3 linked regions of the Arabidopsis thaliana genome follow. The protein of the gene in region 1 interacts with the protein of each later gene in a pairwise test. Each region holds a gene or a part of one and is shown on either strand. Other genes may lie near its edges.

Region 1 (6,846 bases):
CTAATCACAGAATCAAACATGGACTCCCGCAGAAGGAAGTATCCCATCCACTCCGAGATAATTACATCAACTGCCCATTAAATTGAATATGTAGATATTAGCGCAATGTCGAGTAGAGTAAAAATTATCAAAAGAAACATGTTCAACTCAACCAAATTGCAATGTCTCAATCAATAGCCACTAAGTTAAACCCTGATTACTACTCTTTTCTAATCGCAGTGAAAGAGAAGAAAAGGGAAAGTGAATAATACCTTTCTCAGGCAATGAAATATCCTCGACAGATCCTTCAATGACTTCTACAATATGGTCAAGGTTATTGGCTTTGACAAGGGCACGAGCATGATCAGCCATCTTAGTAGCTTCAACGGCATAAACCTTCCTGGCACCAGCTTGAGCTGACCAAATTGCAAGAATTCCACTCCCGGTGCCCACGTCTAAAACAGTCTTCATCACATTACAGAAACAACAATTCAAACTATTAATACCACAAGAAAGACAGAGAGACCAATGGGTACAACTTCGCAATAGATAATCTTTCATCGACTACAAACAAATAGAAAGTCTTCCAACACTTGTTAAGCTTAAAGATGTGAACTTTATTATACCTTGCCCTCAAAGTGATGTTTGTTCTGGAAGACGGCGTTGAAGTAAGCATCCATACGGACACGGTCGGAGAGCATATCCTTCTGGTGGTATAGGAAGGAGTAAGTACAGAAGTACTGAGCGTAGTCAACTTCTTTGTCAACTGGAGCCGACGGTCCTCCTCCGCCGGTTCCGGCAGCTCGTCCACCCATTGCGCCGCCGTTTTGGGAGCTCCTCATCTTTGTTTACACACTTGTTCTTGCAAAGTAATGCTTCTGACTGCGGCAAAAATCAAAGCTTTGTTCCCTTTAATTGGAAAGCTGAAGTGAGAGAGCTACAGAGTTTTCAGACGGCGACGGACAAAGTTCGGAAACTTAGGGTTCCTTTTATAAATCAATCAATCAAAGTCTTTAAGTCTCCCTCCTCCGCTTTCAAAATCATATTACAGGGATTACTTCTTCGGCCCATTTGCTTTCCAAGCCCAAGTTTATAAGGCCCTTTCAGATTTTAATCACCAATTTACAGGATATCCCATTAATAACGAAAGTAAAAAATTCTCTTATGCCAAAATGTTATAACCATAAACTTGCCTTGTTTCCGAAGAAAAATCCAAAAAAACCAAAAAAAAAACCAAAAAGACATAATCTTGGGCCAGAAGCAAGGTATCTGAAGCCCTTTCCTCTCTCTAACATTTACCTATGGAACACGAAACTGGCAACGGGGAGTAAGAAACAAGAGAAGAATCTTCAGTTCTGCTCAGCAGTCACCGCCACAGTTGGCTCATCGGCTTTCTTCAATGGAGATGTTTCCATCACAACATCGCCGTTTTTCTCCTTAGGAGCCACCACTATCTCAGTCGGATTAGGGTTTAGGTTTGGACCTGAGGGATTCAGAGATGGCTCTTCCAATTCAGGATCAGTTTCTATGCTCTGATCATCATGTGGCTCGCTTTCGCCTGAGGATCCGCTTGAATCACCTTCTTCGTCATCTTCTTCGACTTCATCAATTGGAAGGTCAGCTTCAGCCATGTCTACGTTTTGCTCCGGAAGTCTCTGTTGCAGCGGAACAGCGTTGCTTATGAGCTGTCCATTCTTTTTTTTCTCTCTGTAATCTTCCATTTCAGTTCTGTATCGCTCTTTGTCCTCCATTGCCTTCCCTTGGTAAATCTAGAAATAAAAGAAAATCAAACAGATCATGAGACAAAAACTCGATATACGTAACAGAGTTTGATAAGAATTCAAAGATCAGTGTGTGAAATACCAATTTTTCGTCTTCATTCAGCTTGTTCCATAGCTCACCAATCATCCTGCTGATATCCCTATCCTTACCAGGATGAAGCGGTTTAAGTCTCGCGTGCTGCTCTGCGAAAAAGAAGTTATAACCACTTCTGTTGGGTTTTGGATGATCAGGATCACGTCTTTTGATCTCTGATTTCTTTCTTCTCCTACGGCGTTTTGTTACTCCTCCTGCAACCCCCTGAGGATTGGCAGAAATGTTCAGAGTGTTCGGGAGGACACCATGACTCTGTTGCGGAGTTTGATAAGAAACTGTGTTCTGAGGAAGAAGCTGATACAGAACTCCTTTAAGCTGCTCTGATCCAATTGTTACAGTTACAAGGTAACCACTTTCGAATTTTCCATCGATCACTCCAACCACATTTGATCCAGCAAGTGATCCTGAAACAATAACATCAAAGGAAAAAGGATTTTACTCAGATTTATAAGTCACAGTTTCTCAGTTGGAACATTTATAGAAGCAAAGAGAGAAAAAAGTTGAGACCTCCGAGGAATTCTGCAGTATTGATCTTGGGCTGTGGGGTAAAGGTTAGAGCTTGAAGTTCTTGTGAAGGTCTAATGGCTCCCTGAATAAAGCATGGTCTAGCAGATGGACTCTGCATAGAGTCTACAGAAGATATGTGTGTTACAAAACAGAGAAGAAACTGAAAAATATTTGAAAATTTGGTAAAATAGTTAAAGAGGTTTTTATGAACAAACCTGGAGGAATCTGACCATTAGATCTGAAGAAATAGATTTGCTCATAATTGTTCAGCAGCGAGAAGTAGTATTTGCGCAGAACATATGATGCGTTTGTTGCAGTTGGAGGAAAGACAAATGTAGCAGTTACTTCTTTCCATCTCCTTTCATTAAGTATCTGCAATTCAAAGAAGGAAAATGATCCAAGGAAAAATGTCAATGTAGATTTCAAGATTTTAGAACAAAACCAACTATATGAGACATAGAAAACAGACAATACATATAGAATGGAATTAATTTATCATTGAGAGCCTGAGAGGGCATTCACATACCTTATTGATTCCGCCACGTGAGGTTACCTCAACGAAAAGCTTGTGCAAGTCCAAATCTCTTCCTCCTATGATCGGAACCCTACAATCACCAATGTAATATGTAGAATGGTTAAAGCTATAAGCTATAAAGTATTGCATCCATATCCAATATGTAAAAGTTACAATACATTACCCCCAAGAAGCAAAAGGAACAATGCGTTACACAAAAAAGAACATTACTTTTAGTCAGACTATACACACAGAAGAGGAATCCATAATATAGACAGAGAATCTCATGCATTGTAACTGGTAAAATTTTTGTAGGTGAAAAACAAAGCATGATTCATCGTCAACATAAGAGCTTAAATCTCAAAGATAGAGACTTTCTGAACACAAATTTCTGTCAGAGCAGATAACAACTGAACTTACTCTACTAAGTAAGATATGATAAGGGAAGAAAGAAGCTTACATGAATTTAGTACCCAAGAGAGAGTGCAGCCTTTCCAAGGAAGTCATGAAAAGCCTAGGGTCTGCAACCACAGCCTCATACGTTGCTTCAGGGGTAACACAAACATTGTTCATTGGCACTGACCCTTGCTTGAGACAAGAGCTTGATGCCATTCCTAACACAGCCAAAAGACAAAAAAGAAAACAAAAAGGTAAGCACTTTAAGATCATTTACGCTCTTTAACAACCACTAAACCTTCTTCAGCATTTACTATCTATCCGGCTTATTAATGAAACAAAAGTCAGAGACTTTAAGGCTCCACACATCAGATCAGAGTGTAATTAACCGTCTTCCATCAAAGAAACTCAAAGATACATACACAGGAGTTCAATTTATAAATATTATCCACAAAGAATCAAATGACGAAAAACTTAAACAAGAAAATAAGAGATTGCAAAGTCCAAGAAAGGCTTCAAGGAAAAAGCTATAAAAGCCCCTCCATGAATTCTTCTCTTCCCTCTGTTTCTTCTATGCAGAACAAAAAACTGAATACGACAGATTGCCATTAAATGTAAAAGGACTTGTGCTACAAAAGCAACCATACTTTAAGGAATCATAACAAAGACACATCTTTTTCAACCAATCTCTCTCTCTCGCTATCGCTCTGACAAAAAAGAGGGAATTTTTGCGCCGGCAACGTATATTAGCCTGAGATTCGAAGGAACATAAACCAAGAAAACCCCTCGAGGAGGCATATTAACAAATACATTACAGGCATCTATTGAGAAATTCAAGGCCCAACAACAACTTTCTTCAAAGAAGCCATTAATTCTCTGTTACCAAACAACGAATAGATTCTCGATAGACGATACAACAGAGAAACCATTTTTGGGGTTTCCCGCGAAGCAACAAACAAGAAGCAGCAAAAGCCCAGACGACGAAAAAGAAGTGATGATGAAATAATATGAGAAGATTAAAAGAAAATGAAAGAAAGTTGTCACCTTTGCTAACTATTCACCCTTGAATATTCATAAAAATGAAAGCTTTGGTTTCTCTTTGATGGTGATGAAAGAGTGCATATAAGAGAATATAATGGGAGGGACGCGTACGTTGATGAATGATGCGTATGTGTATGAATGAATGAATTGTGTAAATGAGGATCCCAGATGAAAGATTATAAATAACAGATGGGGTGGCTATAAAATAGGTCAAATTTTAATATATTTTTTTCAAAGGGTGAGAGAGAATTGAGCTATATAAGAAATAATGCAAAAATATGAGGAAGATAAGAAAGAGAGAAAAATTATATCAATTTAAAGGAAGAAAACAATTTTCTATTTTAATACAAATATAGATCTTGAAGATTGACCACAGATTATAAATATTTTGAAATTGATTTATGTATTCTATTATTTTTTTGATAAATATAGTTTAATGTGATTGAAACAAATTTTTTTCTATTTTTATACAATAATTTTATATTTATTTTGTCGTATTCGGTTGTAACCGTTATTTACGAGTGGACCGGACAACTAAAAACTATAAATTGAATTAACGGTTTTATCGAATAAATTAAGAAACATACAAGAAAACTTATACAATACTTTATAATATTATATATTTTCATATTTTTAAAAATATTTTATGTTTTTGTATTTTTATATAAAATATGATGATAGTTTTTTATTTATTTTATTATATTCGTTTTTAGCTTTTTCTTTTTATCGGATGTCCTCGAAGGGACTTTTAACTTTTTCTATGAGTGGATCAGAAAATCTAAAAACCTAAGTTAAAAATAAATAAATAAATTTACATAAAAATTAAAAGTTGTAAGATTTATAGTAATTATAAAAATAAACAATTCGTAATATCAACAGAAAGTTGTAAAAATAAAAGTATTTATTATAAATATATATATATGTGTATATAATCTTTAAAATGTAAATGAGAAAAAAAAAGGAGTGAGGGAGTGGATTAGGATACGAGTGGCATTTTCTTTCCTTTTTTTCACTATATACTGAAAATACACGTTCATGTGATTTTCATTTTTCAATATATGGAAAGAAACAATATTATACGCTGGATATCTTTTACCAAGAACATGTGTAACAGTATAATTTCAAAAAGAGGGAATTTAATATATGATGATATCAATTAGTTTATGATACAACGAATACTTATTTTAGACATTAAAAGTTTGACTTGGCACATATTTCGTGATATTTTTTACTAGTTTAGCAAATTCAACCATATCGTTTATAGAGGTTAAAAATAAGAAAACACCAAATCGGAAATAAAAGGTTATATACTTAACAATAAAGCGAAACGACATGATATTTTATGATTTTCTCCACATTATTTTTTATCTGTATCTTATAAACTAATTAGTATTGGAGAATATCATCATATACATAAGAATGATTCAATCATTCAAATCCTAGAAGAAGATTTCAATTCTCAACAATCTGTAAAATACATTTTTACATACATTATCACCGCTTACATACATTTAGAACAAAATTTAATCCATTGAACAACTGATATACTACAATAACGGTTATATTTTATATCAGTCAGTTGAAAAGCTTCGTTTAAAAAAAAAGAGAGGTTAAATTATTGTTAGACAAAGTGATATTACACTAAAATGAACATTATATATAATCTATTTTCATCAACAACACAAAAATATCTTCCAATCGTTATATATGGATGTTGTTGCATGACTTTTTCAATGTATCTTAGATTTGATAAGAGGACATGTAAATAAGTTATCTTCAACTTTTATTGCAGTAATATATATTTGAATCACTATGTCGAATAATTATTGTCGATACAAACGAACAAAAAGCAAGTATGTATGATCGACGATAGAAAAATACATTCCCAAAGGGTGACTTGCGATCCAAGATTTCTCCATAGAGATGGCTCAAAATCTGTAAACACGTAACTGATAATCGAATCCTGTATACTATACATACAAACATGTATGTGTCTAAGTACATAAAATTTAAAAGGCTTCAGCCTTCAAGAAGAGTGAAGATCCATGGAACAAGATCTTGTCCAACTTCGCTTCTCTGACGTAGCCCTAACCTGAAGAACACGGCAATATAAAAAAAGTGTCAGTGAAAGCTATTTACGTAATATGATTTTTTTCAGCATAGAGTTTTGGAAACTTGTTTTAAACCTTTGATGGTAAAGGAGGCAAAGATGCTCGTCTCGTAAGCTCCTCTCTTTCCTCTTGAACAGCCTTTAATCTTTCTCTTAACAATTCCACTTCATTTTCAATCTTTAACCTCTCATAATCAACCGCAGACATCGATTTTCTCCTTGAACCCGAAGAGCTCAGCGACTTCTTGCGTGGACGACATAAGGGAGGTAGCTTTCGAGCAATCCCCGAGACAATGATACTGTTTTCATCCAACGATTCTTTAGGTTTGCCAACAGAGGATTCTTCTAGATTCTTCTTCTTACTAATGTTCTCTGTTTCGTCCTTCACCATATAAACATCACGCACACGTGAGTACGCGACTTC
Region 2 (5,973 bases), about 28 Mb from region 1:
GCAGTCCAAAAATGGAGAAATTAATAACTAATTTTAGTCTTTAGACATAAAAGCATTGTTTGGTATTTCACAGGTCTAATCTAAATTTTCTTTAAAATAATGAGATTTAGTGTGATATATGAGGAAAGAAATCTGGAGATAATGATTGGTACATTGTTCTGATTGGATTCTACCAAAATAAGTCATCACTGAATTGTGAAAATCCCAAATGTCAGAGCTCTATTGCTTTCTCTAGATTTTGTGGATGTGTTTCATTAAAAGGCTTTTGCCAAGTTTCTACATCACTCATATCCTCTTAAAATAATAAAATTTGGAAATAAGACCACTTTTTCGAGGACAAATTTGAAAATAATATTGCTTTCAATGCAAAAATCATCCGTTTCATCGTTTTGACGGTTTTTCGTTAAGCTATAACAGATTCAAATTCAAACTACCTTCTTCAAGAGCAAAATCTATTTTGTAGTCATTGTGAATAATACATTTGATACACACTATTAAATTTCTGTGAATTTGTTTAACACATACAACTCAAATTCTACATACTAAGTTACTAACCTTTCTTTTTTTCATATATAGAGGACAGTTTTTACGTCATACCACTTCATCGTCTACGTAAGGTTATATAATTGATCTCTATGAGTATATATAAGATTTTTTTTTTTTTTTTTTTTTTTTGGGGGCACAAGTATATATAAGATTGTCTCACAAATTTCTTGATTGGTCCATTATTTATAGAATATATTGACTTTATTAGATACTACTTTTTTGTCAATGCATCTTAATTAGTGGATAACACATACGAGTTTGAAGTTCTTAGAAAATTTATAATAAAAGAAAAAAGCCTAAATTAATATTTTATGTTTTTTTTCCCAGATATCACACAAATTTATGGAAACCAGTGTTTTTTTTTTAAAATAGAAAAATGCATATGTTACTATTAGTCCTGATTTTATTTGTTTTATTTTTTTAAAGGATATTAGTGGGTCTGCGCACTTATAGAATGTTCGTATATACGTATGGCGTTTTATTCTCTTTTAATGAATTGGTGAGAGACATAGTCTCCTCCTATTCTACCAAAAAAAAAAAAGATTAATATAGAGGTATATGCATTTGCATGTATTACAAGTATTGAGCAACTGCACCCACTAAAATTCGATAGATCAAAATAATTTTCTAAATACTAACCATAGTGTCTCCACTAGAACGTTTAAACCCGCGTACGTTAGTGATATCAAATAAAAAAACTAAAAATTTTAAAAAATCACTCTTTCCGTTTTTTGTTTTTTTGTTTTAAGTTAAATTTCTCTTTCAACTGTTTTATACTTAAATAAGTCCAAACAAAATTATGATTATCTTCACTCAACCAAAAGTTGAATGATCTTTTAAAAAAATTAGACAAGCAAAATTGACATAATCATATGCATATTTGAGAGCAAAACATGTTTTTCATGTTTTATATACATAATATATAGTATATACATTGTTTAACAGTAAAATGTTTTTTTTATAATAGAAACGTTATGTACAATATACAAGTCAATAAAAGGTTAAGGTCTTAACTCTTAAGTGTGGAAGTTGTGTTTTATATAAACATATATATAGTAATATCTTGTCTTCATAGATAAATAAAACCGTATATATATTGTTAACTTTTCTAAAAAATAAAAGAAAAAACGTATAAATTATGTCAATAATATATGGTAAAATTGAAATTCCTTGAGATTATTGGCTACTGAGCTGAGGCATTCTTATATCATAGTCGGAGACCTCGTGGTCTGCTTGTGCATCCTTCTTCATAACCGGTATTTCAATTTCTTCTATATTGGGATCAACCACCAGTCCATGCTAACATATTTAAAAGCAAAAAAAAAAATTAGTGAAACAATTTTAATTTATTTCGGAAAAAGAGAAAATATAGAACCTGATGCTGCATAGGAGGAAATAGAGTCGAAGGGTTATGGGCCGTAGTAGAATTATAGGCTTGGGCCCATTCTTGAAACATGTCACCGTTATGATTTGACACATTGGATTCACCCATAATGTTGTTTTGGTTCGAGCTTGAGCTACTTCCTTGCAATAAAGTTTCATACATTGCTGAATGTGCCGATGCGTCGAATAAATGGGCTTCGTTAGGCCCATTTTCAGTCAGCCATCCTCCAACGACGTCGTTTCCAAAAGGCCCACCCATGCTTTGCTGTTGTTGTAAAGCAGATGCTTCATATGAAGATAATTGGTCTTGACTCAATATATGTTCCTGCGTCTCAAGAAATTATTTAGTTACTAATAGATATTGTTGAATACATTATGCTTAGAAAAAAATAAAGGGGAGTTTAAATTATTGACCCGTCGTTGATTGACACGTGTTAAGGTGTCCATGAGCTGCTTCTCACAAGTTTCGTACTCTTCCATTGTTGTAAACCTGATTGGATCTGGTTCGTATTTCCTAATTATATATATAATTTGGATATAAGTATTAGTTACATAAATTTTCATACATTGTATCACATTCACTGTGTTTTTGGTTATAAAAAGAAGACCTTAGTTCTTCCTCTGCCATGAGAAGTTGTTGTTGTAACTTATAAACTTCATGCTCAAGTTCCTAAAATTGATGATTAGAGAGTAAATAACATAAAGTAAAGTTATTAGCTAGAGGAAAAAAATAGAAGATTCACCTCGACGTCGGAGTTGATAGCTGTAGGGCTTTTTTAAAATCATCCAATAAGAGAAAAATAAAGAAAATCAACTTCCGAATTATTGCAAATAACGTAGTTATATAATAATGAAAGTAGAGAAAGAATTTGAGACTTGGTAAGTTGAAGAGCAATATCATTCTCAGCCTTGAGTTGCTGCAAAGTCCGGAGTAGATACTGTCACGTGACAAGAAAATTTCGAGATCAATAATCTGAAATGTATAATTGTCCTTCATTGAAAAGGAGCTAGGTATATATACACACATGACACATGCACAATATGCTTAATCTAATTACATACCTCTTTGCTCTGGAAATCTCTGCAAGATAGAGTTGTCAAAATATGAAAAACTCAATTAGATTTTGATGATTATAAATATACGGTTATTATATGTTTAATTATTTATCGGAATAAGAGTAAGATACATACGGGCGTCGACTTTGATCGGGGAATACTAGAGCACTAAAACAAAATGAAAGAGAAATATTAAGAACAAATGAGTGGAATATCTTTAGAGAATCTATTAAAGCCTTGAAAGGTCAGCTTACTTCTCTCGTTCTTGATCAGAAAGATTGATGTATCTAGAGAAAACGTCTTCAATCCTGACAAGAGTTTAACGAATAAATATAGATCAAATGAATGTTTCCATGTTTTGTACAATTAACCGAAAGAAAATGTTATAAGACAACAACAACAAAAAACCTTGTTTTGCCCGAAAAGAGGCTAAGGCGATCAGAGGGAGAGAACATGAGGAGAGCAATGTCGATGTCACAAAGAATGGACAATTCATAAGCTTTCTTTATAAGACCATTTCGTCTTTTGGAGAATGTAACTTGTCGATTCGTTGTGTTTTCTATTCGTTTTATCTCCAATTTCACTCGACCCATGTCTCTTATATCCGATCAATGCAACCAACAAACTCAAAGACTCTTCTTTATTTTGGTTTAGGGAATGCGAAAATCTGATCATTGGAGGCAAAAGTGCCTATATATATATGAGAGATGTACGGACGAGAGAAAAGAGAACCATGAAAGAAGGAGAGGTTAGGTATAAGAGAGATTTGGTTAGAAATGTATGGAAGAGATTAAGAGAGATTAAAAGGGTTTTGTTCTTTGAACGAATTAAGAATATGATGTTATTTTTTGCCACAGAAAATTCATATAGGAGTATTGGGATCAATTAATAACGTTCAGATTAACCAGCATATATCGTTTATTTTGTCAATAATTAATTGTAAAAACAAAACATAAAAGTCAACTAGTCCTCTTTACCTCGCAATGGCTACTCTCTCAGCATATGGAGAGGCTTCGGCAATATCTACTTAATGGTCAAATATTTGACTTTCCTTCAACGGCTATATTTTCCGACCGTTAAACACTATCTCAAGGTGTTTTTGCTTAAACATTGTGAATTGTTCGTGATGATGTTCAAAGTGGAAGATTCATATGATTATTCACTCACCAAGACACCAATGTAAGTTCTGATTCCAATTCACTGCTATATATATCCTTGTATTATTTTATTTATTTTTCTTAAAAAAACACTTAGGAATGTAAACCAAACCAAAAGATGTAAAAAAAAATTGTAAGCCAAACCAAAAGATGTAAAAGAAAATAAAAAGAAAAAAAGAAAAAAAAGAAGAAGAATATTTTGTAGCCTTATGCATTGAAATTTGTACTTTTTAGTCAGGTGTACATTAAATAAAAACTATAGGCTATATGAGAAAACAATAAAATTATCACTAGGTTATATGTTTGAGTTGTACTGTTTCTTACATATATATATCAACACAACTCGTGGGACGTAGATCTTGCTCTTACATAAATATCTACGGCTTCTCCTACTGTCATATATATATTTTCTGTCTTTATTTTCTCGTCCAATTTTGCTCGCTTCAATTTGTGAAGTACCCTCCATCTGGGACTAGCGATGACTAACTGCAGCCCACAAACATAAAACAAATATTGGTAATTTGAAAATCCAATGAACCCACATATGTAACTATAGTGAATGAATAACATTTGATTGAGAAATAAAGATGTACCCGGATGTCATTAGAAGCTAGCTCTTGATGTAGTTCTTCAAGTGCAAATACTCCTGATGTATCTACGCCCATCACGCCTTCACCAATATTTTGTTACATGTAAGATTCAGTACCTCTACTATATATACAATAAAACATTTTCTATAAATTAGTATATCATGATAGAATGTGGGATGTGCTTACAAGACATGTCGAGAATTACTACTTGAAGACCATTTTCTTTTAGAACTTCTTGTTCATTCTCCTCTCCTTCTATTTCTTGAACTGAATTCAATATTCTGAAAGAAGAAAAAATATTTATTTTTTTTGTCAAACTGATAAGAGTTTCACAAGAGTAACTAATGATGTTTGAACAAAAAAAAAAAAAAAAGAAGAAGATAAATATTGATTAATGACCTGTCTCTTATAAAATTGGCATTAGCAAAGCATAGCAAAGGAGAACTGATTCGAAGAGTCAATAATCCTGCAGTCTTATTTGCCATTGGATACTGATTTATGTCACCGAAGATATCTGTTTTTGATAACCTCCCTAAGGCCTCAATGCTTGGTCTTATCGAACTCAACATTATTCTTGCAAACGATATCCCCACCTACATATATACAAATAACTCTGTTATATACATAGTCTTATCCATCAAAATTCACAGTGTAAGATCACAACTGATTAAGCTGATCAAAAGGATAAAGATCGATCACAAGTATCCATTCTCACAGCCAGTTTTTCAAAGGTACTTTAAACATATGTATTTGATTTTTTGTGTACTTATTTGCCACTTGAATGAAACAGTATACATTATTGATTGTTTTGTCGTACAGGGTCTGTCTATGCACAGCGAATTTGGTCGGCCTAGTAGCATTTTTATATAGCAGTTTTATTGGTTAGAAAATATATGAGATATCGACGCTTTTGTTGTCTATAGGAATAATTCACATGATTGAATATAAAGAGTTTTGTTGACTTCCTCAGGGCATCAATCAATCTTGAGTAAAAACAATAGTTTCAATTATATAGTTAATAAACTAGATCATAACCCGTGCTATTAATATTTTGTATAAATTAAATTGTATATTTTGTTATGTTTGTTATGTTTGTCAAAATTATTTGTTATATTTGTCAAAATTTAGTAAAATATATTCAAATATAATTAAATTTATTAAAACTTAATAAATTTAAAAGTTTTTTTTGTTTGGAGACGCACTATCTACATACAAAATACCCGTTTCTATTTTTTTGAGTA
Region 3 (5,371 bases), 6.4 Mb from region 1:
AGATTATTTCTTAATAGAAAAAGACTATTAAGGAAGATAATAGACAATTAAGGAAGAAAATCTAAATCTGATGAGAAATATCTATTCAGTTTTTCTTTCTTTTTTTTTTGTCTTAACTACACAAGTGGAAACGAAATACAGTAAAACCTCTATAAATTATTATTCGATAAATTAATAAATTTTTCCGGTATAGAGTTGGGACCAATGTAAAAATTGATACAAATTGATAAATTAATAAGATAATAATTTTTTTGAAAATTTTATATAAATATATGGTCCTATCAATAGTATAAATTAATAATTGTATAAATTTACAAATATTTATTATAAATATCATATGTAAAATATGATTCTATTAATGTTTTTCTTCAATTTTATTAATTTTTTGTAGTATTCAATTCTAGTATTTTACAACATCAAAAAAAATTTGTATTATTTTTTAAACTTAATAATTGTTTTATACTTGTAATTGGTTTCATAAATACTATCGATTATAAAGAAAAAAACTACATCTTATATTGAATTATTGTAAGAATTTCCAAAATTTGTACAATTTTATTAATTTATCGATAAATAATATCTCTCTAAATTAGTAATTTTTTTTGTCTCAATATTATTAATTTAAAGAGATTTTACTGTAGCCATGTTTTTAGTATAAACTGAGAAGATAAAATTTTCCGTTACAAATTAACAACAAATTGTGTAGTAAAAGGTTATTTATGTGTCAGATTTTTCTTTTTTGTTGTCTTCTCCTGACTATAACTTCTATGGCAGTGTAATTTTGAAAAAAAAAAGAAACAGAACACATATAAGAATAACATAATGAAGATAAGATTTCTTTTTTTTTGTGAAAATTAAAGAAGATAAAACTTGATTTGCTTTTCGCCCATAAAACTATAAAATGGTGTTGCCAAAAAGAATAGTATACAAAAATAACACGACTCTTCATCGTCTTCTCATGGCAAAAAAAAGTTCACTTTTTTATGGGTTGTTGGAAAAAAATATGAATAAATTTTTAAAAATGGTATACATAAATAAATAATACATTATTGGCTACTGAGTTGAGGAACCTTTGTTTCATAGTCGGAGACTTCATGATCAACTTGTGTCTCCGCCGTCACTCCCGGAATATCACTCTGCTGAGCTGGCATCATCTCTTCTATACTGGGACCCACACCTTCATGCTGGCACATTGACCAAAAAAGTCAACATTTTTAACTTAAGTTATTAAAGACAAAAAAAAAGACCAAAAAAAACCTGTTGCTGCATAGAAGCGAATAAGGCCGAGGATGAATACGCCTGAGCCCACTCAGGGAACATTTCACCATTGTGGTTCGTCACGTGGCATTCACTCATGTTGTTTTGGTTCGAGCTTGAGCTACTTCCTTGCAACAATGGTTCATACATTGCCGATGATAATTCTCTGCCAATTTTACATTTCTTTAAAGTAAAAATTTACTGAATTTTCTTGATCAAGATTATAAAAAAATGTGAAAAGTTTACAAATCTTCTTGATCAAAGAAAAAAAAACAATTATAGTACCTGAGTTGGTTAGAATGGGCCGATGCATCAAACAAATGGGTTTGATTGGTCCCATTTTCAGGTAGCCAACCTTCAACGACGTCATTTACAAAAGGACCACCAATGTTTGGTTGCATAGTAGATGCTTCATACGAAGATAAATGGTTGCTCATGAGATGGTCTCGCCGTTGGACAACATGTGTTAGAGTGTCGAGAAGTTGCTTCTCAGAAACTTCGTATTCCTCCATGGTCGTGAATCTTATTGGATCCGGTTCGTATCTCCTGCTCATATTATATAGTAAGCAATCATGATTTGAGTTAAAAAAATTATAAACTATAACATATAACATTTATTTTTCGAGTAAAAACCTTAGTTCTTCTTCTGCCATTTGGAGTTGTTGTTGTAACCTACAAACTTCATGCTCAAGTTCCTAGATTTCCGATTTCAAGCGAGACATTTAGAAATATATCTATGTCTTCTAATTAATTGATGGAATAACGATTAATTACCTCGACGTCAGAGTTGATAGCTGCAGGGCTTTTTCAAAATAATTATATGAAAGAAAAAAAAAGTTTAGTGTATAGTTTAAATGTGTTTTGAAGGAGTGTATCTTGGTAAACATATGAAAATTATAAAATCAATTATAACGACAAACCGAAGGAATTTACGGACTTCGTGACTTGAAGAGCGATGTCATTTTCAGTCTTGAGTTGCTGCAGAATCCTTAGTAGACACTTTCACATAACAACAACATTATTCTTGACTTTAAGGAAACAACATAATGAGGAACAAACTAATCACTATGATTAGAACTAACCTCTTTGTTTTGAATATCTCTGCAAACAAACCAAAAAAGAAAAGAGAGGGTCATGAAAAATTTATTATACCCATATGATCAAGTGTAATGTAACAAAAGAAAAACTGATATACATACGGGCGTCTATTCTGGTCAGGAAAGTATAGAGCACTGAAAGAAAACAAATCAAATAACCAAAGTCAAAATTTACTAAAAATGTAGTAATTTATAAAACTTGGAAAAGAAAGTAGTTTTTAGCGTACCTCTCTCGTTCTTGTTTAGGAAGATTGATGAATCTTGAAAAAACGTCTTCAATCCTAAAGAGACAGAGAACTAAGATATGATATGGTCCAAAACCTAGAAAGCTAGCAATGGAAAATGTTAATGAAAAAGGGGTAAATTAAATGATGTAATACCGAGTTTTTCCGGAGAAAAGGCTAAGGCGATCAGAAGGAGAGAACATGATAAGAGCAATGTCGATATCACAAAGAATCGACAATTCATAAGCTTTCTTAATCAAACCATTTCTACGTTTTGAAAACGTAACTTGTCGATTCGTTGTGTTCTCTATTCTCTTGATTTCTAATTTCACCCGACCCATATTGGCGAAGCAGGAAGAGATTTTGATTCATCCAAATCGTAAGTTGATATAATAATGCTGATCAGTAATCTACAAAACTTCAATCCAAAAAATCCTTGTTTGAAAATAATTTTGTTAATATATACGGAAGGAGGATGAAGAAAACTGCTTATAATTAGGCGAGTTAATAGGAACTAAAATTAGAATTTTTGACTATATTCCTTCTCTAGCCTCGTTTCGTTGTATATCGTTTTGGAGATTTCTTAAGTTTGCTCTTCTTTTTTCATCAAAATCTTTGGATAAACGGTGATGAGATTACGAGATACTCATATGCTGTTTAAGCATCAAAGACGCTAACTTTTATGAGTTTGATAGCTAAATAGTCCTCATGATACATCATAGCGCAGAGTTTGTTGTCTTTTTCGTCGACTCTATGAACTATCTTCACTAAAAATGTCCCATTAACACAATTTCAGTTAATGTCTCGACTTTTGTTTGCCTTTGAATATATATCAAACATTGAGGGATGTAACATTCAACCACCAAATTTCCAAATAATCAGAGCCAACGATTAAGTCACAATTACTGAGGACTAAATTTCTGATTTAACACTTGAGACAAAAGTGGGAACATGAGAGTACAACAACAAAAGAGAAACAGAGTTGGATCACAAATCATCGAGGAAATGTCTTAAATCACCTGAAACACACATAAATAGACAACATCAATAGATAATGCAGTAACAGATCTCTTTAGCTAGTTTCTTGAGATGAAACAAAAAAACACAACAATGGTTTCATCAGATCACACACAATCTGCAGATCCATTGTCCCAATTCATAAACTCAGATGCAAGTAGCAGTACTAATGAGAGTCGAATGATCTCTGTTACCTATGAAGAAGTAGTGAATAGACCAGAATCAATGATGAGTATCGTCGAAAACCCAAGGCTCATGCAAGAAAAGCTCACGACCATTCATTGGAACACGACCTGAAGCTATGTCCTCTTGTCGTTTCCTTGCTGCTTCAGCTTGTTTGGCTAATAACTCAGCATCCTTACAAGTAAACAACAAACTTAGGTTAATCAATAATGATGATTCTTTTGATTAACTTTATGTAAGATTCATTACATGAAAATAAACAACGAGGGCTTCCTAAAGATTATGCGTTTGAGTAGAGATATCAAATCTAGGGTTCTTCAAATCGATATATTCACTAGGAATCAACATGTAAAGGAGAAAGAGATAGAGAGATACCTTTTGGCGTTTCCAAGCGAGGAATTGATCTTTAGAAATTGAAATCTGTGTAGGTTTTGGCGTTTCTCCATTACCGGCTCCCATCGTTCAACGTTTTTCTCTCAACGCACGAATTTCAATATTTCTCTATTTTGATCTGTTTTTCTTCATAGGTTTCGTGATAATTATTGTTTTTTAAACGACAGCGTATTGATTGTCCCATCATAAGTTTCCTTTTCCTCGTTTCGTCGTCGTTTCAATGAATAGCTAAGATTGAATCCGATGGTCGTCATTTTTTTGTTATTTTCTTAAATTTTGAGTATGAACGAATACGAAATTGAATGGAGGAGGTTTAATCTTCGTGCTTGTATTGGTCCACTATAGTTTATTAAGATTTTCGAATGATAATGATACATAACTATTATCACAATCGATGGACTCTCTTTAGGATCCTAAAATTGTCTAATCATACATTACGGTTGCTATATTGGTGTCATTTTGCCAATGTGTATGTTTTTTCGTTTCTTTCTTGGTTTTTTTCTATCATGTGAATTTTATATAAAATTATCAATGGTAGGATATTTGATAGATTACAAATATACACCGGCGTAAACACAAGATTTTCCCAAACTCTATAAAAATGAAGCAAAGTAGTACTATGAGATAGAGGAGATCGAGCGATAGGAGAGTAAACCCATAATAGTATCTCTAACCCATCTCTATTTTAGAGATAAAAATAGAGATATGTTGAAGTGAAATTAAAGTAAAAATAGAGTATTGAGATAAAAATAGAGAAAAGTTAAAAACAATTAAACCCAATAAAACTAGAATCAAACCAAACCAAACCAAACATCCTATTTCCAAGAATTATTTTGAGAGAACGAAATGAAAATGCTCTCAACCAACCATTGCTACTCAAGACCTCTACATATTACAATCTGCATTAAAACATCAAGAGAATCCTAGACTAATGAATATGTTTTTTGAGCATTTATGTTTATTTTGTCAACATCAGATTTTAATCAACAAAAAAAAGTTCAATGTCATATTTTGGTTTTTCAGTATGGCGATATATATAATCAAAAGCGTCATATAAAATTGTAATTCTCGCCCATTGCCAATACAAAACTACACAAAACGAGCATCACCTTTTACCAATTAAGTATTGAAATGCTATTATCTAAAGGCAATTAATATGAGTCCTCCAATGTAATGGTTAATCAATATATTCGCGAATTG

What was found.
Region 2: the proteins of AT1G04880 (region 1) and AGL66 come close enough for resonance energy transfer, tested with the Arabidopsis thaliana proteins (one study listed by BioGRID).
Region 3: the proteins of AT1G04880 (region 1) and AGL104 come close enough for resonance energy transfer, tested with the Arabidopsis thaliana proteins (one study listed by BioGRID).

What each region holds. Positions count from the first base shown.
Region 1 is NC_003070.9:1,374,778-1,381,623, forward strand, and holds AT1G04880 (HMG (high mobility group) box protein with ARID/BRIGHT DNA-binding domain-containing protein), read right to left. Parts: upstream 4,452-6,846; 5' UTR 4,316-4,451; intron 3,490-4,315; 5' UTR 3,488-3,489; coding exon 3,336-3,487; intron 2,967-3,335; coding exon 2,888-2,966; intron 2,734-2,887; coding exon 2,577-2,733; intron 2,485-2,576; coding exon 2,362-2,484; intron 2,259-2,361; coding exon 1,843-2,258; intron 1,749-1,842; coding exon 1,329-1,748; 3' UTR 1,047-1,328; downstream 1-1,046. Other genes in the region: PRMT10 (protein arginine methyltransferase 10), read right to left, coding at 1-70, 252-444, 606-821; AT1G04890 (zein-binding protein (Protein of unknown function, DUF593)), read right to left, coding at 6,339-6,404, 6,499-6,846. UniProt on the Arabidopsis thaliana protein: Binds preferentially DNA with A/T-rich content.
Region 2 is NC_003070.9:29,313,490-29,319,462, forward strand, and holds AGL66 (AGAMOUS-like 66), read right to left. Parts: upstream 3,698-5,973; 5' UTR 3,579-3,697; coding exon 3,394-3,578; intron 3,294-3,393; coding exon 3,240-3,293; intron 3,154-3,239; coding exon 3,121-3,153; intron 3,011-3,120; coding exon 2,992-3,010; intron 2,868-2,991; coding exon 2,806-2,867; intron 2,701-2,805; coding exon 2,673-2,700; intron 2,600-2,672; coding exon 2,538-2,599; intron 2,444-2,537; coding exon 2,344-2,443; intron 2,255-2,343; coding exon 1,922-2,254; intron 1,846-1,921; coding exon 1,723-1,845; 3' UTR 1,352-1,722; downstream 1-1,351. Other genes in the region: AST56 (STAS domain / Sulfate transporter family), read right to left, coding at 4,476-4,628, 4,736-4,812, 4,919-5,013, 5,132-5,325. UniProt on the Arabidopsis thaliana protein: Probable transcription factor that forms a heterodimer with the MADS-box protein AGL30 and is involved in the regulation of pollen maturation at the late stages of pollen development and pollen tube growth.
Region 3 is NC_003070.9:7,811,341-7,816,711, forward strand, and holds AGL104 (AGAMOUS-like 104), read right to left. Parts: upstream 3,006-5,371; 5' UTR 2,920-3,005; coding exon 2,735-2,919; intron 2,636-2,734; coding exon 2,582-2,635; intron 2,490-2,581; coding exon 2,457-2,489; intron 2,359-2,456; coding exon 2,340-2,358; intron 2,257-2,339; coding exon 2,195-2,256; intron 2,060-2,194; coding exon 2,032-2,059; intron 1,953-2,031; coding exon 1,891-1,952; intron 1,804-1,890; coding exon 1,543-1,803; intron 1,424-1,542; coding exon 1,258-1,423; intron 1,185-1,257; coding exon 1,047-1,184; 3' UTR 871-1,046; downstream 1-870. Other genes in the region: AT1G22140 (zinc finger CCCH domain protein), read right to left, coding at 3,818-3,952, 4,154-4,237. UniProt on the Arabidopsis thaliana protein: Probable transcription factor that forms heterodimers with the MADS-box proteins AGL30 and AGL65 and is involved in the regulation of pollen maturation at the late stages of pollen development and pollen tube growth.